Linked DNA regions of Caenorhabditis elegans. The protein of the gene in region 1 purifies or fractionates together with the protein of each later gene. This does not show direct contact. Each region holds a gene or a part of one and is shown in the gene's direction. Other genes may lie near its edges.

Region 1 (10,362 bases):
TAGTTTTTGATGATAGTTAGAAAAAAAAATACCAGTCCACAACTTCCATAAAACTCGAATTATATAAATTTAGAAAAAAAAACTAGTGATCCCAAAATATGAAAAATCTATCAAAATCAGTATTGCAGTCACTTTTTCTATCGCGAATGTGTGAAGAAATTTGTATTTTAATTTTGAACTCAAATGATGGAGCAACGATTCGGGCTATTTTGAACCCAAAATGTGCAGTGTCACACACATTTTGACTTTTATAGCGGTTTTTGAGCAAATTTTTGAAACTTGTAATAAACAGTAAAGTTCATTTCAAAAATAAAAATATTTCTTCATAAATTTCTCAAAAAACTTTGACACATCGGTGACACTCAAAATGTGCTGAAAGGAACGAATTTTTGAAATGAAACTTCTCAAAAGTATTTCAACATTTTTTCTATTTCGGTTAAAAATTTTTGCTAAAAACTCCAGTTTTGGCCGCTTTTCCGTGTCGCATTGGTCGGAAGTTGACTTATCATAAAAATTCATTTTTAGTCACCTATTGACTTTAAATGTCTCTCAATCAACGAAATAACGTGTGATAAACTACCAAACTATGCGATAAAGGATGATAATTTAAAACAAAAGGTCAACTTCGGACCTCTGCAACACGGAAAAAATGGCCAAAATTTGAGATTTTAAGAAAATTTTTTTCAAATTTTTAACCCGCCATTTTGAGATGTTTCATTATGCAATTCATTTGAAAACATTTCCAATCAATACATTCTATTTTAAAAACTTTATATCACTTACCAAAAAAAACACTTTTTGTTTTTGTTGTTATTCTATCTATTGATCTATCATCAATTAGAATGGACAAAATAAAATAGTAAACGCTTCCCACCAGGCACTAGATATTGCTTAATTTGTTGAAAATTGGGTCATCTCCCATCGGAATAGGTCTTTGAAGATTGAGAACATTGTTTGACTATTTAGACGATTAACATCAGCTAACCTAATGAATTTATTATTTGATAGAGAGAAGAGGAGGACGCGCTGACAGCTAAACACGGTGCCTACATGATGCCAAACTACTATGACAAGGGGGCTGGAACTATTGTGCCATACAACTACAACACGTACGCTGGATATGGTGGCTACCCATATTACAATCAATACAACACTGCTGGCTATGGATACATGACTTATGGACGTTAAAGAGTGTTCTTCATATTGCAAAGAAGCCCTTTATTCTAAATTTTTATAGTACTCAATCAAGAAACGACGAGGTCCATCACGAATATTCTCACCAAATTCTATGTTTTTTTTGAATGTCAGAAGTTTTATTCTAGCCTTTTCTTGGAAAGTCTAGACTTCCAGTAATCCTCTTCCTCTTCCACTTGCCAACCAAAAATTGTTGCCGTTTTGTGTATGTGTGTATCGCATTTGTCACAGTTTCCCCATAATGTACCTAAACTACTTAATAATGTTTTTTTCTCAACTTTGTCATTCTGAGTTTAGTGTTTTCTTGTTCTGATTTTGTTGGCAATCCCCAATCCGTTTTATGTCCGTCTTCTCATTTTTGTACTGCCACTCCTTGTTTGAAATTATCGAGTTTGGATGGAAGACCCTTGGTGCTCCTTTTCCCACTTGTCTTATTCAAAATGCCATCTGCCCCCTTTTTTTGTTCAGTTCGTTCAGCAAGCACAATGAATTTAAAAGATAATCGATACTCGAATATGCCACACCTCAGTTCCCATTTAATCATTTCACTTTTTCATACTTTTAAATATGTGAAACACTTTTTTTCAGTTCATACCAAAGTATCTAAATAAATCAGTTTGATTGTAAGAAAATGATTCAATAATTTATTATTTATGACAACATGCGAACGTCCAATATATCATTAAAAAAGCAAAAAAAAGATTTTATTCAACGATTTTTATACTTTAATTTTGTTTGTATTACTCTTGTTAAAACATTTTGTGGTCGGAACATGCGGCATTGCTCTGAATTTCCTTCAAAGCAATTTTTTTAAATTTAGCATTTTATCAAAATTTTGACTGAAAACTTCCATAAATGTAAATTTTTTTGGAACATTTTATTATGATATTCGATTTTTATAAGTGTATTTAGACAAAACCCCTACCTGCGCTACTTCAACTTTAATAAATGTACGCTAAAATTATTCGATCAATTTGTTCTCAAATTTCCTGACCCAAGAAGTTTTCAATTTTTGCTTCGTCTCTCACAATTTTATTGGTGGACGGAAACAAATACTTATGGGTTGAAAAATGCGACATATTTTAAAATTTGTTTGAAAGTAATATTTAATTGTTTTGTGAAATTGACAATTTACCAAAACTATGACAAATATTGCTGAAGGTGGTGTAGCACCAGTGGGGAAATTGTTTCAAAATACATATGAAGCCAAAATGAACAAGTATCATGGTAATTTTTTGAATCTAATTTTTATATGATTTTAAATTGGAAAAATGTCTGTTTTTGCCACCTTTTTGGAAGTTGTCGATCAAATAAAAATTGTTTATTTGATTTTTATGCTGTGATTATTTTTGAATTAATATTTAAATATTGCAAGGATTAAAACATGCGACATAACTAAAGTTTTCTCAAAAAGTGGCAAAAACTCGGTCTTTTTTGCCAGTTTTTTATAGTCAATAAATTCTTTTTTCTCTTATGAAATTGTAAAATTACAGACGCTGAATATTTCAAAAATCAAGAGGGTGTTTTCTCCATTTACCTACCAATGATCAAACAATTTTCTTAGCTCACGAATGAAATAGTGCACAAAGTTTTTATTACATTCATTTGCCGAAAAAATTGAATACCATTGGATGTTATGAGTTTCGGAGTTTGAAATTATGCTCAAATTATACTATAGGTTTTACAGAAATCAGAAGGTAGCACAAAAACATTAACAGATGGAAGATGAGTGCAATCAGTGGTAGAAAAATGAATTAAATTAAATTTTGGTACCTATTGGTTTGTACCATTTGTTTTTGAGAATACTAAAACTATTACGTTTTAATTTATTTAAAAAAAATCATCTGCTAAAAACATTGTTAATTGCCGGATCAAAAAACAAAAAATTTTCGCATAAGAATTTTGATTGGTGAGCAGAAACTGAAAGCAACTCATTACCGGTTGTGAGTACCTACCAATCTGTCAGTAAGTTGCTTAACCTCCGCTTCCCATTATGTTTACCCTCTCGTTTGCGTTCACAATGTGTCGCAGTGTTTCTTGGCAAACTCTCGACTTCTTTCCGCTCACCGGTATTGGGGACGGTTGCAGAAGCATCAGCAGGCCCCCCCCGAGTCTTCAAGCCTTCATCGGAGGTACTGTTTGCTTTCAACTGGCACACACACACACACACACATCGCGTCTCGCAGCAGCATTCACTACAAACCTAGCCTGATTCCTAACCACCACTTAGCCTTTTCCCTGCCTCACCCAACTAGACTCGACACATTTGGCTCCCCTCATGTTAATGGCAAAAAGAACCGAGTGAGAATAATGGATCGAAATGTCAACTCGCCACGTGTACTTGCCGACCAACTACGGAGGTTTATTCAGAATCCGGATTCGACTCCTTCAGGTAAACATATATCCATGACAAGACGGGAGTGTATTCAAACTGAACACTTTTAAAAACCACCACCAAATAGGCACTTTTTTCAGGGAGCGGTATATCTTTATCAGATGCTGGATTTGTTTTGTTATCTTTAAAAGACCAAATTTTAGCGGACTCAATAAAGTAAGTAGTTTTGAATTTTTTGTTGGCGTTGATGTTCCAACATTTTCCAAGCGAACTTTCTTCACAAATTTGAAAAAAAGTTTGATTAAAATTTACAAAAATGACAGTGTTTTCTATTAGTATATTGGAGCGCAATGTTCAATTTTGACAGCTTATACCTAAGTTGTCGATTGTATCATTAAAATCAACTAGCAACTTACTAACAACTTATTTACAATGCAACAATGTCAACTAACAAAATATTTGTTAGAATTTTTGGTACATGTGTATTACATAGTTATAAAAAATTTAAGCGTGTACAGTGCATTTGATTTTTCACTTCTACGACTTTAAAGGAAGACGGATTTATGCGGAATGGTCTTGCCGCGCGTTTAGTCATCATTTTTAGCAGTTTCTGGGTAAAATTCGCGTAGATCACATGTATATCACAAAATATTTATCTCATATTTTGTATTTCTGTTGCTTTCAAATTAATTGTGCTTTCACGCGTGATCTACGCAAATTTTGAACAGAAACTGTTAAAAATGATGATTACGCGCGCAGCAAGACCATTCCGCATAAATGCGTGGAAAAACCAATGCACTGTAGCATATTTTTGAACTTTTGAGCTTAGGTAATAACCATTTTTAAGCCCAAAAAAATGAATATCACGTTAAATTTCAATGGAGAAAGGAATGAACATTAAGTAGAATTTTAAAATGAGGGCATGTAAAACACAAGTACCGGTTTTTTTTAAACATAGTTTGTAGTTTATCACTAATAGATATGTTTAAGACAAAGTGTGATATAACATTTTTCAATGCAAAAATTATTTTTAGAAACAGAAACAGTTTTTCAATTGTTTGTTCACATAATTTTAATTAATTTATAAGGTTTCTTTTACATTCATTAGCCGAAAAAATGCATTGTTTCAAAAACTAGCTAGTATTACAATTACTTCTTAAAAGAGAAAGGTTTTCCGTTGCTCTATTAGTATTTTTAAAAAATGCATTCCCTCAAGGAAAATTTATTTAAATTTTTTTGGCCATTTTTTCGTATCGTATTATCCATTTGGCGGTACCTCCCGCGCTCAACTTTGTGCACTCCCGTGGCCATTATTTAACTCCGACTGAGAAGTAAATACAACAGTGACCGGTTCTAAAACCTCCCACCCCCCCCCACGCACTGATAGCTAACTCCTCCGAACCACAATATTTGCTCCTGTCTGACGTATGCTTCCGACATGAATTTCAATTGTTTCCAGGGCTCAACATTTTTCGCATGAGTTTGTATCAAAGCCTATCAACGGGATTGAACTACTCGGAAAAGTGGTGATTGTTCTGCAGGGAATTGTGAACAGTGTTGAAGGATCTGGATCGAAAATTTCCTACCTGCTCAATAGAAATTCGACAAATGCCAATCGAAAAAGAAAGGCAGCTGTTGCTGAGGCCGATTGCATTGAAAGCATCAAACTGTTACTTGAGAAATCAGTGAGTGAAAATTTGTAAGATTCATGCCATTAACTATCACCTTGCATAGGAATCAACATGGAAGTCATTTCTCGAAACATCAACCGGATTGGATGCCATAATGTATTCTATTCATTCGCCTCAGCTGGACTCCAAATGTTACTCACTCGAGGTTGCCGTTTATCGTTGTGTTTGACAAATTAGAATATCGTTCTCTGCAGATTCTTCTTCTGCTACTAGAACAACCGCAAGGATTTGTGATTTTATTGAGGGCGCTGACTGTTTTGGCAGCAAGAAATCGGGACTATTTGAGGTTTTCCATATTTGTAGCACAACTCAAACATGGTCTTCATACAAAGAAACTTCACATTCAGGTCTAAAATAATACGGCGCATTTCGTAGATTTTCGCCATTTTCAGATCCTTGTGGCTAGACTTTTCAACAAGTTGATTGCAAGCGCACCAACTCCAGTGCACAGAGCACTTGTTAAATCGGAAGTGTCATTAGCCCAGTACAATCCAGAAGTTGTCGAAAAAGTAGGTTACCTATTGTTCGTATTCTGAACGCCAAATTGTTCCAGCTCATTGGATACCCGAATTCATCCTACGGCGGAATGGACACTTTGATCGATGAGTTGAACGCGTGGAAATCACTGAACCAATATGTTGGAGGGTCGGGACCCACCGTTGAGCATAACCACATTTATGGAACTTCTGAAGTGGACGGAAGCAGCATATCGGAAAGAAGTCGGAGGCATGCTCCAAGCTCCAAGATCATGGTAAATTTTCTGTTAGGTTTCATAGCATAATAAATTGCGATATGAGTTTTGTATTGTTCAAGATGTACAAAAAGATTTTAAATTTGTCTGCTTGCGTTGACAAAAAGTCATGTTGTATCTATCAAAATAGGTAAAATAATGAAAGGAAATTTTTAGCTTTCGCCGCGGTACGTTTGGTTATACGAAAAAGCCTAATAGAATAATTTAAACTACATACCCTTTTTCTTTTGAATCCCCAAGATAAAACGCTGTTGTACCCCGTTAATCTTGATGAAATTTTCAATTTTCTTAGAACCTCGGGTACTGCTCAAAAATAAATTCAAGCAGCTGATATGTTCAAAATATATGTTTTAAAAGTCCAACTTGTGTTATACAAATTCAGATTTTTTTTTACAAAAGTTCCAGCAAAGAAAAGGCATAATGAAAACTTCTCAAAAAAATTTTGAGATTTTTTATTTACTGTCAAATAGTGATAACTACTCAGTATTCTTTCAGTCATAATTTTGGAAGTCGACCAAAAAAATCTACGGTTTTTGCTCTTCATTTTTATTAAACTGCGTTAAAACAGAAAATTTGGCAGTTAAAAAAACTCTAAAAATTTTTGGATTGTTTTATCATGATATTCGATAGTTCTGGATCACTATAAGTGTATTTCGACAAAATTTCCACTGGCGCTATTCCACCTTTTGACCTATTAATAGTGATGAACCCTGAATGTGAATTCTTATTTTGTGGGCAAAAGTGCCGGAAGAAGGTAACTTATTTTATTTTATTTCAGCCAGTGACATCCGTCGTTAAAAACGTTGAACGTCAAAGATTCCGAAAGCAGGGTGCTGGCTCCGGTGGAAGAGCTGCCGGCAATTATTACTTTGAAGGAGGTGGCGGCCCACGCTTGACTTATGACCGAAGATCACAAACATTATCGCATGGTTCTTATGCTGGTAAGTGATTAAACATTGAAAATTCGAATTGATTTCTAAATTTTAATTTCAGAACCATCTTCTCCAATACCACCATCCAGAATGGGTTACGCCACCGAGAGAAGAGAGCCGTTCGGTGCGATGAGGCGAGCAAAAAGTGAAAGTGCAATGGTTTTCAGAGAAAAGTACGTAAAGTAGTATTGATAACAGCCGAGGTATACAAATTTTGTTTCCAGCAGGGAAGAGTATGAAAATGATTCTCCTGAAATGGCGCCACGCGGCTTGAAACGATTTGGCAATAACAGTCAAAAAGAGCAAGTCCATTATCACCCAATCCAACAAGTGAAAACCTTGTCTCGAAGCGTTCATGACTTGGCCATCCGCGACGATGATCCAGGAACACTACTTCGACCAGTTTCTGCACGACCACCATCATCAGCGTCTCGAACACCGTACAGAGCAGTGTCCCCAGTTCCAGTTTCACCAATTATAAAGCAAGATGCTGACATACCGTCTAGACGACTATCTAGTGCACTTTCTCCAAGAGCACGATTTGCGGATCCTCCGATTGTTGAGGCTCAGCATCCTCACGCAGGATTTTCATATTTGTTCCCACAACAGCCAGTTGTCAGTTCAGTGTACAACAAAAAAATGATGTCGCCGGAACCAAGAGAAGTGACTGTACGTTTTATTATTCAAAATTGCAAATGTTCCCAACTTTTCTTTATAGGTGAACTACTAAAATACGCCATAAAGGGCAAAAAAAGTGTATTCCAGCTACGGTGACAAAGAAAAATTAGCGAAATTTCAGATTTTAGGAAAATTGGGGTGTATGTTTTCGAAATTTTTTTTTGGAAATTTTTTGAGTAGTCTCATTATGAAATTCGGTCGTTTTGGTCCGGTATATTTAAGTTTGAAAATTTTCAGAGCTCCACATCAAATCGTCCTGTATCAGCGCCCCTGTACGCCACAGCAGGAAATCACGAAGGCTCCAGCCGGCCCCTCTCTCCTCTGGAAATTCAGAACTCAATGTCCGGAACTCATGATTTCGATATGCCAGTTGCATACAGTAATGAGAATGGACAAGTGGTGTATGTTCCGATTAATATTGAAAGTGGAGTCGGAGCCGGGCCACGGAGAGTGAGCAAAACGTCAAAGTAAGGAATATAAAAATTATTGTAATTTTGAACCACCAAAAAGTGACCGAAATTTAAGATTTTAGTTAAATTAGGCTTTTTTCGAAATTTTGAAACACCATAAAAATTCTTGAAAAATTTTTGAGATTCCCATTACGAAATTTGTTCTTTTGAGCACACGTGGGGTATAGAATTTTAAGTTCCCAGAACTGCCTTGAATGTGTAATTTTCACATTTAGGTTCGACTATACTCCAAATGAATCTCGCAGCAATAGTCGTGCAAAACTTCGGAGCCCAAGCATTAACGGTAAAATTAATACTTCATAGAGATTTTTTAATCATTATCATATAAACCTACCAAGTTTCAGGAGAAGATGTTCGTAATGCTCTGAGCCAGTTCGATTACTTGTATGACTATGAAGCCGACCAAAACCCAAAAAATCGCGAAGCCACTTATCATTTGTAATGAAACCGATTTGTCATAAATTTAACCACAGTGTATCCCGAAAATAATTTTAAATTTTAAATTTGCTCAAATATAGGCTTAAGACTTGTTCAAATTAAATACCTTTTTTTTGTATATTTAAAATAAAAATCTTGTTAACATATATATGAACCCTTTTTCTTTGTCTTTTTATTTTTCCTAATTTTATTTGCACGGTAAACCTCCAACAAATTGATTTGAAAGACATCAATGGGATAACCCTGAATCGATTGCGTGCAACCCAAAACAAGGCCATTGGAATTAGGAAACGCTCTCTCTCTCTCTCTCTCGCTCGTTTTCTTTCGCGCCGCCAACAATTTGCCTTGTTATCAAACAGTATCATGACCCCAACTTGATTAATTGGGGAAATATCATTTAGGATGCTTTTTATTATTTGACTATTTGTGGGATTTCGGAAAAAAAATAAGAAAAAAAAAGAATTGGCAGCGACAGTGAACTTGAGAATTTGAATGGAGAAATTGAGGAACACGGGTGTAAATAGAGTTGCAAAAATCAAAGAATTGAGCCTAGATACAGATTAAAATGAAGAATATCAAACATTGTCAAGGTTGAGCAAGATTTTCAGATGTTTCTGTAAATTGGCTGTGGTGGTGGTGCTTGTTCGTAGCTCCATGGTGGCCAAACAAATTTGAAGCAACAACATTGCACTCGATGGTGTTGCACCGGTCGAACCGGTCTCATATCCTGATGATATACCTGTGGCTGTTGAGTGATTGCACCACGTGAAGCTCCAAATGACGACTCGTGTCCTCCACCGTGTGACTCGTGATGAGATCGGTGATGGCTGCTTGATCGGTAGCCGCCACCTCCACTACTTACCACGCCTCCAGGTGGTCCACGATATGGCTGCACTGCTCCATACTCTTCTCTTTCGAAATCATCTCCGAATCCTCCTCGACCATATTCCAGGGCTCTGCGATCTCTCGTAGCTTGCTCCTTAAATCGGGAAGAATACGATTTTGGACTGTCACCCATTCTTCCATCAAATGATCTTCTAGGAACAAAGTCACGGTCTCTTCCGAGAGGCTCCCTTACTGGTTCCTGAATATCTCGATTATAAGGAATGTGTACATCTTGGCCTGCTTGTGGACGACGATCATCAAATCCATAAGGCTCGGCATCTCTGTGACGTGTTTGAGGGGACGAACGGAAGTCATACTGCGGATCACGACCAATGTCACGGCGAATAGGGATGACAACTCCACCATCATTAGGATATTCATTTCGATGAAACCCATCATCATGTCCTCGAAACTCTCTGGTGTCCAATGATTTACTTCTGAATATGAGAGAGCAATTACAATTTCAGTGAATCTTCTGAAAAAAAAAAGTTACCTGGATTTCAGATCAAGCCCTCGATTATCAAAATATGGTGCAGGTTGGGAAAAGCGATCTCCGTAGTCTTGGTCAACATTTGTTTGAGATCTGGATCTTAGTGGTGGGTATTCTCTGCCATATGCATGAACACGTGAATCAATGCCACCACGTGGAGTGATTTGTTGTGATCTCGAGTCACGGTAGTTCATGGTTCGATTCGAATAATCCGGGTTAGCCCCCGGCGAGAAACGACGATCGTAATTCATCGCCGGGAGTAGTGTTGACGATGAACCGACGTGTTTTTGTAGACAGCAAGTAGTGATGGATATATTGCGTTTTTCCCACAAAATAAGTCGGTCGTTCGGTTAGTAGAAAAGGCGATGCGGAATACGTGTATGCGTGCCGCCCAGAAACGCAAAGCGTCTACACCGAGAAAAAAAATGGGGTGGGGGAGTTTGGGCTGATTCACAAAAAGGCGACGGCGTCGGTTGGGCGAGTAGGAAACGGCGGAGA
Region 2 (9,462 bases), on another chromosome or scaffold:
TCCGGGTTACTGTAGCACCAAAAGTACGCAAACACCGTCTAGCGCACCAAATTTTACGACAATATGCAGAAAATCCCTATAAATCGAGTTTCCGGAATTAAAAATCACGAGAAACTCGAATTTTGTGCATTTTCAGTCAATTTGGAAGTTTATGGGTTACTGTAGCTCCAAAAGTACGCAAACACCGTCTAGCACACCAAATTTTACGACAATATGCAGAAAATCCCTATAAATCGAGTTTCCGGAATTAAAAATCACGAGAAACTCGAATTATGTGCATTTTCAGTCAATTTGGAAGTTTATGGGTTACTGTAGCTCCAAAAGTACGCAAACACCGTCTAGCACACCAAATTTTACGACAATATGCAGAAAATCCCTATAAATCGAGTTTCCGGAATTAAAAATCACGAGAAACTCGAATTTTGTGCATTTTCAGTCAATTTGGAAGTTTATGGGTTACTGTAGCTCCAAAAGTACGCAAACACCGACTACCGTATCCCAGCGCGCACCAGATTTCACGACAAAATTTGCAAAAAAAAAGCTTCAAAACAAATGAAATTTTAACATTTTTTGGAGTTTTTAGTGAAAAAATTGCCTAAAAACTACCAAAACTTGATGATTTTTCCAGAGAAAATGATTTTCTGACATTTGACGCAATGCGACACACTGCTCAATGTATGGGACGAGCTCTCCGTTCGAAAACTGATTACGGATTGATGGTATTTGCTGATAAGGTATAAAATAAAGAGATTTATCGATTTCCCGAAAAAAAATCAGAAAAATCAGAAAATTCTCGATTAAAAAATCACGAAATTTAACCAGAAAAAGTTGTTTGAAAATTTTTTGGCAATTTTTCAACAAAAAATGTGTCCATTTTGTGGGCGTGGCATGAGAATTTGAAAAAAAAGCTAAATATTGATTTTTTTCACTGGAAAATCAGAACACTTTGAAATAATTTGCACAAAATTCACTAAAAAACCTGAAAAGCTAAGCAAGTTTTTTTTCCATTTTAGCTGCAAAAAATATTCAAAAAAATTTTTGGATTTTGGTAGAAAAATTCCACGATTTTTGTTAAAAACATATCGAAAGTTCACTAATGTTCATAGTTTCAAACTGATTTTTTTCAGCTTGAAATGCGCTGAAATTCTGATGTACCATGTGGCAAATGTGCTATGTCGGCGATTTTTGTGCGGAAATATCAAATTTTAGCATTAAAATATGCAAAAATTTGGAATTTTCACCCGAAATTGCTCACCGGGAGCACATTTGACCACTTTCCCGGGGAACCTCTGCCCAAATTTTCATTTTTTTTTTGGACGGAAAATTCGGAAAATGATTTGAATTGTAGAGATACTCTGAAAAAATCTGAAATTGGCTGAAAAAAATAGCGGAAAATTGAAGAAATACGAAGAATTTCACCAGCTGCCCAATTTTCTGAAATTTTTATTAGAAATCTGCCAAAAATCGCAAAAAATATAGTTTTTCGTCCCCAAAATTGAAAATTTTCGCTTAAAAATGCGAAATTATTTTCAAAATTCAAAATTTTGAAGCTTTGAAAAGTGACCATATAATGGGCGTGGCTTGTGATGCTCCGCCCATTTTTCTAGAGAATTTGAAAAATATTTTCCGTGGCAAATGTGTTATGTCGGTGATTTTTGTGTGGAAATTTCAAATTTTAGCATAAAAATATGCAAAAATTTGGAATTTTCACCCGAAATTGCTCACAGAGAGCACATTTGACCACTTTCCCGGGGAACCTCTGCCCAAATTTTCCATGTTTCCCCTCAAAACTTGTAATTTTCTTCAGAGATTCTCCCGAAACGACAAACGTGGAAAATTGCCCCGCTGGATGCAGGAATACCTGGAGCCAGCTTGTACCAATCTGAGCATTGACGAAGCGGCACAAGTTGCCAGGCGTTGGCTCACACTAATGGCTCAGCCATTCGAAAAGGAGCATCAGCTGGGTGTTTCGTTGTTGGATAAGGAAATGGTTCACGATTCGCAGATTATGAAGAGATTTGAACGTGTTGTTGAATATGTTGATTAGATTTTTTTTTTGATTTTTGAGCTATTTTTCATGGAAAATTTGTAAAAATTTGAGAAAAAACCGTGAAAAATGAGTGAAAAACAAAAAAAATCGCTAAAAATTGATATTTAAGCCAATTTTCAGTGAAATTTCTCAAAAAAAATCAAATTTTTGGGTTACTGTAGCCCCAATAGTACGTAAACACTAAAATTCCCGTTCTTCAGTAAATTTTCGCAAAAATTTAAGTTTTTTGGGTTACTGTAGCTCCAAGAGTACGCAAACACTGTTATGGGCGTTTTTCAGTGAAATTTCTCAAAAATCCGAATATTTTCGGGTTACTGTAGCTCCAAGAGTATGCAAACACTGTTATGGGCGTTTTTCAGTGAAATTTCTCAAAAAAAAATCAAATTTTTGGGTTACTGTAGCCCCAATAGTACGTAAACACTAAAATTCCCGTTCTTCAGTAAATTTTCGCAAAAATTTAAGTTTTTTGGGTTACTGTAGCTCCAAGAGTACGCAAACACTGTTATGGGCGTTTTTCAGTGAAATTTCTCAAAAATCCGAATATTTTCGGGTTACTGTAGCTCCAAGAGTACGCAAACACTGTTATGGGCGTTTTTCAGTGAAATTTCTCAAAAATTCGAATATTTTAGGGTTACTGTAGCCCCAAAAGTACGCAAACACTGAAATGCGCAATTTTCAGTGAAATTTCTCAAAATTTTCGAATTATTTGGGTTACTGTAGCCACAAAATTACGCAAACACTACAATGTCCGTTTTTCAGTGAATTTTCTCAAAAATTCGAATATTTTTGGGTTACTGTAGCCCCAAAAGTACGCAAACACTGAAATGTGGAATTTTCAGCGAAATTTCTGAATTTTGACCGTAAAATTGAATTTCTTAATTTAAAATTAATTTAAAATTTAAAATTGCTAATTTTCTAGATTTTTCACTGGAAAATGCTCTTTTTTTTTCTCATTTTTTCCATGGAAAATCTCAATTTTTCCCCGATTTTTTATTAATTTTCCCTCGTATTTTACCATATTTTACCAGTTTTCCTCCATTAATTTATTAATTTTTTTTTGAAAATGTTCTCAATTGTATCTCATAATTTTCGTTCTCCTTTTGAAAAAAATCACCGGTTTTTCAATTTTTTTTCCGATTTTCAGCCAATTTTCGGTTTAAAATGGTAGTTTTTACCTGAAAATATCGATTTTTCCGGGATTTTTCCCTTGAAATTTCAAAATTCCCCCAATTTTTTGCAGATGTTCTCCCCGCTCCGTCGGCTCACCACAACGGGTCTCCAGCTCCAGAAGCTTCAGAAATTGCAGAAGCTCCAACAATTTCAGCCGGCGAGAGCTGTGCATTTGACGGTTTTTCAGCAGAAGGGGCACTCGAAATGGCAGAATATTAAGGCGGTGAAGGGAAAAAATGATTTGATTCGGTCGAAGGCAACCAACTTTTTACTCAGAAAGGTAGGTTTTCGGGTTACTGTAGGACCAAAAGTACGCAAACACCGAGAAAAGCGAATTTTCGATTAAAAACCATGAATATCCAGCGATTTTTAGTACGGTAGCACCAAAAGTACACGAACACTGACTGCCGTACCCCAATACACCAGATCTCACGGAAAAATGCAGAAAATCCAAATAATTGGGTTACTGTAGACCCGAATGTACGCAAACACGGACTACCGTAACCCAGTACACCAGATCTTACGGAAAAAAACAGAAAATCCGAAAAATTTAGGTTACTGTAGCCACAAAAGTACGCAAACACCAAGATTTTACGATTTTTTTGCAGAAAAATTGACAATTCCCATCAGATTTCTCAAAAATACAAGATTTTGGGTTACTGTAGCAACAAAAGTACGCAAACACGGACTACCGTAACCCTGTACACCACACGTTACGACAAATTGCAGAAAATCCATAAATTTGGGTTACTGTAGCCTCAAGAGTACGCAAACACAGACTACCGTACCCAATACACCACACCTTACGAAAAAAAGCCGAAAATTTCAAAAAATTAGGTTTTCGGCGTAAAAAGTACGAAAAAATGGAGTTTAAATACGAAAAATTGAAATTTTGCTCAGAAATTCCTAGAAAAAGCGATTTTTTTTTCCAGGTCCGTGGAGCAGTATCTCGTGGCGGGTTCGACATGAAGCTCAATCGAGAACTCGCTGATTTGGAGTCCGAATTCAGAGCACAAGGACTTCCACTGGACACGTTGAAGAACTTTTTGCAAAAAATGAAGGTATAATAGTGAAAAAATGAGGAAAAATGATGAAAAATCGCAGAAAATGCAATTTTTTTCGCAAAAAAGAGTGAAAAAACTTGATTTTTAACCTAAAAACCGCAAAATTTTGTCTATTTTTCCACAAAAACTCCAAAAATCCCCCGAATTTTTGCAGGACAAGCCCGAAGTAGAATACTCGTTCGATATCATTGGACCATCTGGAATATTCCTTATCGTAACCGCCGAAACTTCGAACAAAAAAGCGTTTGAAAACGATTTACGGAAGTATTTCAACAAGTTGGGCGGTTTCCGGTTGGCAGCTGATGGTGGTGTTCGTAGTTGGTTCGAGGAGAAGGGTGTTGTGCATGTTGACACGAAAAAAGGCGGAAAAATTCTGAATATTGAAGAAGTACGGGCGATTTTATGCTGAAATTCTGTTTTTTCCTGAAAATTTGGAGCTTAACGGCGTTTTTTTTGGAGTTTCTAGGTCAATTTTGAGGTTTTTTGCGTTACTGTAGCTCTAGAAGTACGTAAACACTAACCAGGCACCGAATCTTACGACAAATTGCAGAAAATCTAAGAAAATTGAAATGTTTTATCCAACTAGGTAGAAACGTACTTAATAGTGAAGAATTTGGGTTTCTAGCTCAATTTTAAAAAAGTCCGGGTTACGGTAGCCCCGAAAGTACGCAAACACCGATTAGGCACAGAATCTTACGAGAAATTGCAGAATTTATCTGAATTTTAATTTTAATCGGCTAATTCTTACCTGAAAGCATTTTTATCTAAGGTTTTAGCTTAATTTTGAGGTTTCTTGGGTTACTGTAGCTCTAGAAGTACGCAAACACCGATTGGGCACTGATTCTTACGACAAATTGCGGAGTTTGCTCAAATTTTGAATAATGCTCTTTTTTCTCCTTCCTGGTAGCATTTTTATCTGATATTTCAGCTCAATTTGAAATACCCGGGTTACTGTAGCGTCAGAAATACGCAAACACCGGCTTGGATACGACAAATTGCAGAATTTATATGAATTTCAATTTTAATCGGCAAATTTCTGCCTGGATTCCTTTTTATCGGAGTTCTAGCTCAATTTTGAGATTTTTCGGGTTACTGTAGCGCCAGAAATACGCAAACACCGACTAGGCGCCTAATCTTACGACAAATTGCGAATTTTTTTGTAATTTTGACTTACGCGGCTTAATTCAACCTGAAACCGTTTTTGTCTGAGGTTTTTGCTGAATTTTGAGGTTTATTGGGTTACTGTAGCTCCAGAAGTACGCAAACACCGATAAGGCACCGAATCTTACGACAAATTGCAGAATTTATTTGAATTTTAACTTTAATCGACTACGTTCTGCCTAAGATAATTTCTATCTGAGTTCTAGCTAAATTTCGAAATTATCCGGGTTACTGTAGCTCTAGAAGCACGCAAACACCGACTAGGCATCATATTTTACGACAAATGACAGAAAATCTCGCAAAACGAGGTTTCCAGAGTGAAAAATGACAAGAAACACGATTTTTTCTATAAGAATGCGCAGTTTTTCAGCTGAAACTAGATTTTTCTCGAAAAAATCTTTAAAAACTTAATTTTTGGGTCAAATTCGCTGAAAATGCGCGATTTTCTCAATAAAAATTGGCAAAGAATGAAAAAAATTCAGTTTTTCACGTAGAAATTGAGAATTTTCGTTCAGAAACGGGTTACTGTACCGTCAAAAGTACGCAAAACCGACTACCGTACCCCAATACAATACACCAAATCTCACGGAAAAATGCAGAAAATTTCTAAAAATCGGAGGTTTTCGGCTTAAAAGAACTAAAAAAACGGAAAAATCTCAGTTTTAGACTGAAAACTCAAAATTTGTGACTGAAAATTGATTTTTCGAACGGTGATTTTGAGGTTTTTTGGGTTACTGTAGCTCTAGAAGTACGCAAACACTGACCAGGCACCGAATCTTACGACAAATTGCAGAAAATCTAAGAAAATTGAAATGTTTTATCCAACTAGGTAGAAACGTACTTAATAGTGAAGAATTTGGGTTTCTAGCTGAATTTTGAGGTTTATTGGGTTACTGTAGCTCTAGACGTGCAAACACCGATTAGGCATCATATTTTACGACAAATGACAGAAAATCTCTAGAAATCGGCTAGCTGGGGTGAAAAATAACGAGAAACACGATTTTTCGACTGAAAATTGATTTTTCGAACGTAAAATTTATTTTAAAACAGCTCCCGGCGTGATTTTCACCAGGAAAATCGGTTTTTAACTCGAAAATTAGTGAAATTTTGGATTTTTCATCGATTTTTGTGTTTCAGATGGAAGAAATCGGTCTGGAATTCGATGCTGAAGAGGTTTTACTGATTGAAGAGGACTCAACGAAGAAATTCGAACTAATTTGTGATGCAAAATCACTTCAAACTCTTGAAAACGGCCTCGGAAAGGGTGGATTCTCGATTTTACAGTCGGAAATTGAATTCCGACCTGTTCATCCAATTGATTGTCCTGAAGCTGAGGAGCCAAAGGTTCAGAAGTTGTATGAAATGCTTCAGGTACTGGAAAAACTAAAAATTCCGGGAAAAACTCGAGAAAAAACTAAGATTTTTGGACAAAAAATCAAAAAAAAAATTGAAAAAACCGAGAAAAATTGCAGAGAAAGTTGTAGAAAATTCCGTAATTTTTTAAAAAATTCAGAAAATTTAAAAACTTAAAAAAATATATTAGACAATTTTTTTATTCCAGAAAATTCAAAAAAATATTCCGGAAATTTTCAAAGAATTCAGAAATTTTAAAAAAATTTGAAATTTCAAGAAATTCCACAAATTTCTTTAAAAAATCCAAGAAATTCTAAAATATTTCAAAAATTCCAAAAAATTACAAAAAATTGCAGAAAATTTCTAAAAAATTCGAAAATGTGTTGAAAAGAATGTCAAAAATGAGAAAATTCAAAAAATATCTCAACAAATTCGAAATTTTCCAAAAAATTCCAAAAAGATTTCAAAAAATTTCAGATATTTCTAAAATGCATCAGAAAATGTTTTTTTTAATCAGAAAATTCAGGAATTTTCCAAAAAAATTCTTTAAAAATTCCATATATTTTCAAGAAATTTGAGAAAATTGTAACAAATTCCAGGAAATTCCTAAAAAAAATGTTTGAAAATAAAAAAAAAAGTTCCAGACAATTTCAAAACTTTTTCAAAAATTCCAGAAAAATTAATAAAAATACAGAAAATTTAGAAAAATTCTGGAAATTCCAAAATTTTTCGAAAGATTTTTGGAATTCTATGGTAATTTTTTGAAATTTTCCAATTTTTGACATTTTTTCAATACATTTTCAATTTTTTTCTGAATGTTCTGAAATTTCAGAACATTCCTAAAAAATGTCTGAAATTCTGAAAAGTTCAAACATTCAAAAATATGTTCGACAATGTTTTTTCAATTCCAGAAAAAATTTCTAAAAAGAATCAGAAATTTTTCCAAAAAATATAGGAAATCTCAAGAAATTCCAGAAATTTTCTGAAAAATCCGCTAATTTTCGCAAAAATTCCAAAAAATATCAAAAAATTCCATGAAATTTCAAAAAATTCTAGAAATTTTTTTTTTCAAGAAGTTCAGAAAAAATTTCTAAAAAATTCCAGAAAATTTCCGTAAAAAATCTAAAAAATTTCAAGAAAATTCGAATTTTTTTCATTCCAGAAAATGTTTAAAAATTCCAGAAAATTTCAAAAATATCAAAAAATTCCATGAAATTTCAAAAAATTCTAGAAATTTTTTTTTTCAAGAAGTTCAGAAAAAATTTCTAAAAAATTCCAGAAAATTTCCGTAAAAAATCTAAAAAATTTCAAGAAAATTCGAATTTTTTTCATTCCAGAAAATGTTTAAAAATTCCAGAAAATTTCAAAAATATCAAAAAATTCAAAAATGAGAAATTTTCAATAAATTCCAAGAAATTACAAAAAATTCCATAAAATTTCAAAAAACTTCAACAGTATATCAGAAATTTTCAAGAAATCCAGAATATTTCGAAAATATTTGAGAAAATTTGTATTTTTTATTTCAGGAGGACGAACAAGTACGCCAAATTTTCGACAACATCACACCAGACGAGTAGCCGATTTTTTTCAATTTTTCATTGAAAAAAGCCGGAAAAGCGGAAAATTTCCATTGTTTTTTCTCTATTTTTAGTCGTTTTCCCATCAGAATTCCATTTTTTAAATCTTTTATTTTATTTTATTTATCAGTTCAATAGATAGGATTCCCGCATTTCTTGTTGTTTTATTGAGTTTTTATTGATTTTTTAAAATTGAATTCCACCTGTTTTTTTTGTTAGTATAAAGCTATAATTAAAAAAAAAAAACTGAAATGTCCATATTTTATTGTCCATACAGCTTCCGAATTGCTCGAATATCGTATTTTGACAATTGAATTTTTCCGATTTTTGCTGGTTTTCTGTAATTTTATACTTTTTTTTGGGATTTTTGGGGTAATTCTTTAGAAAAATTTGATTTTTTGCACCAAACTTTTTGAAAAAAGAAAAACTTTCTAGAAAATCTGACAGCAAATTTCAAATTCTGGCATTTTTGAGCTGAAAACTCTGAAAAATTCCATCGAAAATACGAAATTTTTGGAAAAATCCCAAAAGGTCAGCTTTTTTGGGCTGAAAATAATTTTTTTTAAATAAAATTTGAATTCAAAAATATCCGGCCGAAAATCGATAATTGCCAGGTTTTGCAATAATACCAAATTTTTCCCAAAAAATGGTACTGTAACTCTTTTCAGCGGTGGACGGCAATTTTATTTTACGGAAAATCGGCAAGAATTGACGATTTTCGATTCCGGCAACTTGCCGATTTGCCAGAAATTTTTGATTCCGGCAATTTGCCGATTTGCCAGAAATTTTCATTTTTGGCAATTTGCATATTTGCCGGAAATTTTCATTTTCGCCAAATTTGCCGATTTGTCGGAAATTTTCGATTCCGGCAATTTGCAGATTTGCCAGCAATTTTCGATTCCGGTAATTACCGATTTGCCGGATAATTTAATTCCCTGCAAAATGCTGATTTGCCAGAAGTTTTGATATTCGGCAACTTGCCGATTTGACGGAAATGTTCATTTTCGGAAAATTCGCCGATTTGCCAGATATTTTAGTTTTCGGCAAATTGCTGATTTACCAGAAATTTTCATTTTCGGCAAATTAC
Region 3 (5,203 bases), on another chromosome or scaffold:
ACAAATTGGTAATCTAAAATTTCTTATAAAAATAATAGTACGGTTGAAACATATTAAATTGCTTCAAATCTCTTGAAAAGCAACTTTGTCAATTTACCAAAATTTGTCTGAACAATTTCAAATTCTAAAAAGAATTTTGAAGTGTTTAATTATGATATTCAGATATTTTTGGAATGTTATAGGTGTATTCAGTTATACCACTTGCTTTAATTAAATATGAGTTACCTCTTCTGGTCTACTCTGTGTATGTCCTTCAGGCCCAGTAACTCCTTTTGCCAATAAATCAATTTCCTTTTCTTTAATCACTGAACCATTTTCACAATGAACTCTTGCCAATGCTCTAAGTTTTGCACATTCTTGCATTCCTCTGAATAATTCATCATCTCTGACCATTAGTGTGTTCTCATAAGCCATGTAGAATTTGAACGAATTAACTCCTTTAAATAAATTAAATTTGAAGATTTTTGTTTTTTTGAAAATTTATATTTTCAGAATCTAATTATATTCAAACTTACCAAATTCTGGACTTGTAATAATTGCCATTTGTTCAGCAGTTTCTGGTCTCCACATTGTGATAGCAACTGATAAACCATAATCACAACACACTTTTGGATCTGCCCAACTTCTCCATCTATTGTAACCAGCAATCAATGACTCCCCATTTCTATGATCCGGACAACAGAAATCAATTATCTGAAATTTAACCTTTTCTATTCATTTGATCTTCAGATTTTCTAAACCCGCCAGTTGATGGGAGAAATATGACCTTGGCAAAATGTGAGTGTGATTTATCACTTGGTTAACAAGGATATTTAATATAATAATGATCTATGTTATAATTCGATTACTTTAATTTCAAAAACAGAAACGCGAAATTATAAAAAGAAGGATTTTTGCTGACTTTAAAAATAAATAAAATTGTCAAAAAAAAACCTTCAAGTTTCTGTACTTCGAAGTGTTCTATATCTTTTGATGTCTATACAATACAATAATTAGAAATAAATTTTGAAAGCATTTTATTATTTATTCTTGTTCGCGGGTTTGAAGAAAATCTGAAAACTAGATGAAAGTGGGCATCCGTCTTTTTCGAAGTCTTCAAAAAAAAACGGTTGTTCAATTTAAACGGATACTAATAAAATCTTGGATCCTAGAATAAACATTTTTGTTTAATGGGCACAACGGTTTGCCGCATTTCCTGAATAGACCCTCAATTTTGTAGGCAGGTAGGCAGTCACATCTATGCGATGAGCTTATAATTTAATCAGTAAGTCATCTCACCATTGTAGTTCCTCCAGCAACTGCTGCTTCTGTTCCTTTCAAAAAATCATCTTTTGTCACTTCTCCCATATATGGCATTTGCATATGTGTATGAGGATCAATACCTCCAGGAATCACAAGACGATCTGTTGCATCAATTACTTCTGTATCTGGTAGAGCAGTTATATTTGGAGATACTTCTCTGAAATCGTTTTTTTTTTCAAAAATTATTTGGTAGAATCAACTTATTGGCGGATTTCGATTGGGGGGTTTTTTTTTAAATTAAGACCTCTACTAACTAACTTATGTCTCAAATGTTTAGTATATTGCCAAATATTCAAAAAGAAATTGGGGTTTTCACAAGAAATTTGTAGCAAAGAGCAAACGTCTACAGTGTTCTGAAACAAATAATTAAATCATAATTGAAATTAAAAATCGTAGAACACTTTTCAGTTGAATACCAAAATTATGATAGATGAAAACTTAGATATTAGAAAGAAATTGATACTTTTTTAGATTAAAAATTCAAGAATAGTTTCTAAAAAATGTTGAAAAGTTTTCCTATTTGAGCGTTATAGGAATAATCATTTTCCTCAGAGGCGCAAATCCATCTTCAAGAAAGAGATACCTAGATAAACTGAATTACAGTATATTTATTTTATCACTATCACCTAATTAATTTAACTACTTAACTTAACTACAGTTTTTACACGCATTCTTCTTGTTTGAACTTACACAATAATTCCATTTCTAACAAGAACATCAGCTTTAAACATTCCATCTTCATTGACGACAGTTCCATTCTTGATAACAAGTGGTGGGGACATTTCCGAATCTCTTAAATTAGACAAAAAATGAATTTTCTTGACGAAACACAAAAAACTTTGAAAATGAAAAAAGAAATCTTGATTTTGGGTGGAAGGAGGAGACTGATTGATAATAATAGTTGTGATAAGAAAGATAAAAGAAGAAGACGTACCCGGGGCGTGTGATGATAACGTACCCAGATTGATATAGACGATGTTAAAATCACGTTTCTTTAATCGGAAGTGAGAAGAAACCATATGGCATGATTGAAGATGGTACGGTTAGTCTGTCCAGTTTTTGTTCAAAGTTTTAGAAATTATTTGGTAAATTAGACTAATTGACAAACAACAACTGAAATATTCGCCGATTGTGATGACTTGTTGAGAAAGATGTGTGATCAACGTGCTGGAGTCTTCACAATGAGCATGTTCTACACATATGCCATCCGTGCCGCTCTTTTCTATTTAAAGCTTAAGCTTCAATGTCTGAACGAGAATGGAAATGAGGATGCTCTGACAAAGGTCCCTTTCCTGACAAAGAAAACTAAATAGCTCTGTATTTCAATTTTTCTTTCCTACAAAGAATCTTTTACTGTCTCGATTGTTTATTGAAAGCATCCGTTGCACTTCAAACTCAATACTTCAAAATTCGTGAAATTTGAAGTATTAACTTTGAAGTTGTAATTAAACCTTTCCACTCCCAAATCCAAGATAATCGTTTTCAAAAGAAAATTTTATTCAAGGTAGAATTATATATGAAAATATCCCCTTTTTGGTCTCGCCACGAGTTTCTTCAAATTTCAAATGAAGCCTGCTAGACAGTCTGCGCCTTTAAGAAGTACCGTAGTTTCCATGGATCGTTGTTTCGCAATTGTTATGGCTTATTTTCCCGTTTTTTCTTTATTCTTCATAACTTCATGGTATTTTTTAACACAATTAGTTGACCAAAAATAAAGAAAAAACGAGAAAAAATAGATTCAACATGAACTGAATAAATATTTAAATTTAAATTAATTTTCACCGTTTCATCTTCACAGTATGAAATTCTAGAATTCGAATACTATGTTTAAAAATTATTTCGGAACGTATTTTTTATTTCTATGTAGAAAATACCGTACTAGACCTGTATGACTAACAAATTTCTTACTAATTTTCAGTTTGATCTACCCCGCTTAATGAGCGAATTTTGGTTGTTATTGTTTTCAATGATTTCGATTTTTACTTCACAATCGCATTCCAACAAATCAGTCTTCACTAAAGATGCGTTTTGTGTTCATCATTGCTTTGCTGCTCATTGGAGGTTTGTTTTTCACTTGTATTTTGAAATTAAATTAATTGTAACAAATTGCAGCATCTCTCGCTCACCCAGCCGATCCGATCCGTGCCAAACGTGATGTTTCCGCCAGTGAAGATGAGTTCAGCGGAGATTCATCTGGAGAAATTTCTGGCGAGAGTTCTGGTGAAGCATCTGGTGAAGCCTCGGGAGAAGCATCTGGTGAAGCCTCGGGAGAAGCATCTGGCGAATCATCTGGTGAAACTTCCGGCGAGAGTTCAGGAGATGAGGAAACTTCCGGCGAAGGATCTGGTGAAGAAGGATCCGGTGATACATCACCAGTCGTTCCTGTCGACGAACTCACTCTTCAACAGTTGGAGACACTCAACACGTATGCTCAACAAGTTCAAGCTGAATCACAGAAGCTCATTCACCAAGCTAACTTCGTCATCACTGAGGTTAGTTTCTCGACCCCTTTTAATTCAATATTTTAAATCTTTCAGATGACTGCTCTCTCTGCTAACGCTCAAAACCTCGGAATCCTCTCGAACATCGTGCTTGCCAACTCTCAGATGGTTCTCGACAGTGCTCGTCTTTCACTCAATGAAACTGAAACCGAAACCGGAACATCTGCACCAGCTACTTGCGTCTCATCTGCTGTCTGCTATGGAGATTCTGGATGTGGAAGTGGAAAATGCATTGGAGCTCTTGCCGGAACTTGCAACTGTAACTCCTGTGTCTTTGGATGGCCGTAAGTTTTCAATTTATTTCGCAGCAGATTTTAAAATATTATTATTTCAGATGCCAAGAGGACAGTGCTTGCGGAGGATTCAACGGTGCTTGCAACAGCATTACCGCTACTTGCGATTGTTTTGCTGCCTACACCAAGAACAATCTCACTCTGGCCGAAGCCCTCACTTCGTTCTGCAACGTGGAGACGTGCAATGGAGCCGAAGACAATGTCGAGAAGTGCCACGGATTGCCATGCAACTATGGATTCTGTGTTTGCTAATTGACCCCATCTTATCGGCTTTTTTTTATTTTGCCCAAATATATTGCACACAAGTTTACGGAATGAATAAAAATTTCATGATTCTAATTAACTTCAACATTTGAAATGAAAAAAATCAAAAAATCACTTGGAAAATAATTGGAACAGTTCTGGTTCGTCCATAACCGTCGTGTTCTCGATTTGTTCTGACATTCGGATCAGTTCCATCAAATTCGATGGTTTATGAGAATTTATTAATGGCCATTCAGGAGGTGGCTTTAGGTATACTCCATTCTTCGAAAGCATATGAGATCGATCAGATGAGAGCAAGGATATGTAGTTTTCTCCTGGAATTACACGAAATTTTCTGAAAATAATTATTCAAACTGAAGAAAAAGTGTTAAAGTGTAGCAACCTTCTGAATTTAGTGTCACGCTGAGCCATTTCTGCGAGATTCATAGTTTTTTCCCAATATTCTAAGAAATCACAACTCCATTCGAGTGTAGAATCCAAATCGTAGACTTTTGACCCGTTTTTTTCCTTTTCAATAGCAATGACGTGATAATCCCAGAGAACATGACCACTGTAAAAATAAATTATGAAATCATGAAAATTCTTTGATTTTTATTTTATAATTAATAACTTACTTGATACTTTTAGCAGCCTTTTGTTTCCACAGTGGTATCATTTTACAGTCGTTTGATATAATAATCGCAAATATTCCATTTTTATCATCTATTTTCTCAATCAACTTATAGACATTTTCTTCACAATAGCAAGATTGATACAATGCTTCCTCGGCCGAAATCATTATGCTTAAATTATATGGAAATGAGAAGGAGATTCTCAATTTCAAAAACTTTTATTCCCGAGATG

Evidence for each region.
Region 2: the proteins of F53B3.3 (region 1) and taco-1 fractionate together in Caenorhabditis elegans (co-fractionation; one large-scale study listed by BioGRID). This does not show direct contact.
Region 3: the proteins of F53B3.3 (region 1) and cpg-3 fractionate together in Caenorhabditis elegans (co-fractionation; one large-scale study listed by BioGRID). This does not show direct contact.

What each region holds. Positions count from the first base shown.
Region 1 is NC_003284.9:2,864,203-2,874,564, reverse strand, and holds F53B3.3 (CLASP_N domain-containing protein), read left to right. Parts: upstream 1-3,427; 5' UTR 3,428-3,504; coding exon 3,505-3,586; intron 3,587-3,669; coding exon 3,670-3,745; intron 3,746-4,819; exon of another isoform or gene 4,820-4,988; coding exon 4,989-5,214; intron 5,215-5,263; coding exon 5,264-5,365; intron 5,366-5,414; coding exon 5,415-5,567; intron 5,568-5,612; coding exon 5,613-5,729; intron 5,730-5,773; coding exon 5,774-5,971; intron 5,972-6,749; coding exon 6,750-6,912; intron 6,913-6,964; coding exon 6,965-7,076; intron 7,077-7,127; coding exon 7,128-7,572; intron 7,573-7,818; coding exon 7,819-8,048; intron 8,049-8,266; coding exon 8,267-8,334; intron 8,335-8,395; coding exon 8,396-8,493; 3' UTR 8,494-8,651; downstream 8,652-10,362. Other genes in the region: F53B3.5 (Conserved plasma membrane protein), read left to right, coding at 1,009-1,188; F53B3.6 (RNA-binding protein 6), read right to left, coding at 9,094-9,811, 9,868-10,115.
Region 2 is NC_003281.10:280,827-290,288, forward strand, and holds taco-1 (Transcriptional regulatory protein), read left to right. Parts: upstream 1-3,290; coding exon 3,291-3,500; intron 3,501-4,152; coding exon 4,153-4,281; intron 4,282-4,438; coding exon 4,439-4,672; intron 4,673-6,582; coding exon 6,583-6,816; intron 6,817-8,324; coding exon 8,325-8,375; 3' UTR 8,376-8,637; downstream 8,638-9,462. Other genes in the region: xpd-1 (General transcription and DNA repair factor IIH helicase subunit XPD), read left to right, coding at 629-734, 1,808-2,047; Y50D7A.13 (Peptidase metallopeptidase domain-containing protein), read right to left, coding at 8,638-8,713.
Region 3 is NC_003279.8:7,241,670-7,246,872, forward strand, and holds cpg-3 (Chondroitin proteoglycan 3), read left to right. Parts: upstream 1-3,296; 5' UTR 3,297-3,323; coding exon 3,324-3,363; intron 3,364-3,414; coding exon 3,415-3,794; intron 3,795-3,839; coding exon 3,840-4,087; intron 4,088-4,137; coding exon 4,138-4,348; 3' UTR 4,349-4,433; downstream 4,434-5,203. Other genes in the region: dhp-1 (Dihydropyrimidinase 1), read right to left, coding at 226-437, 516-693, 1,279-1,459, 1,993-2,084; R06C7.6 (Protein N-terminal glutamine amidohydrolase), read right to left, coding at 4,472-4,694, 4,743-4,910, 4,975-5,138.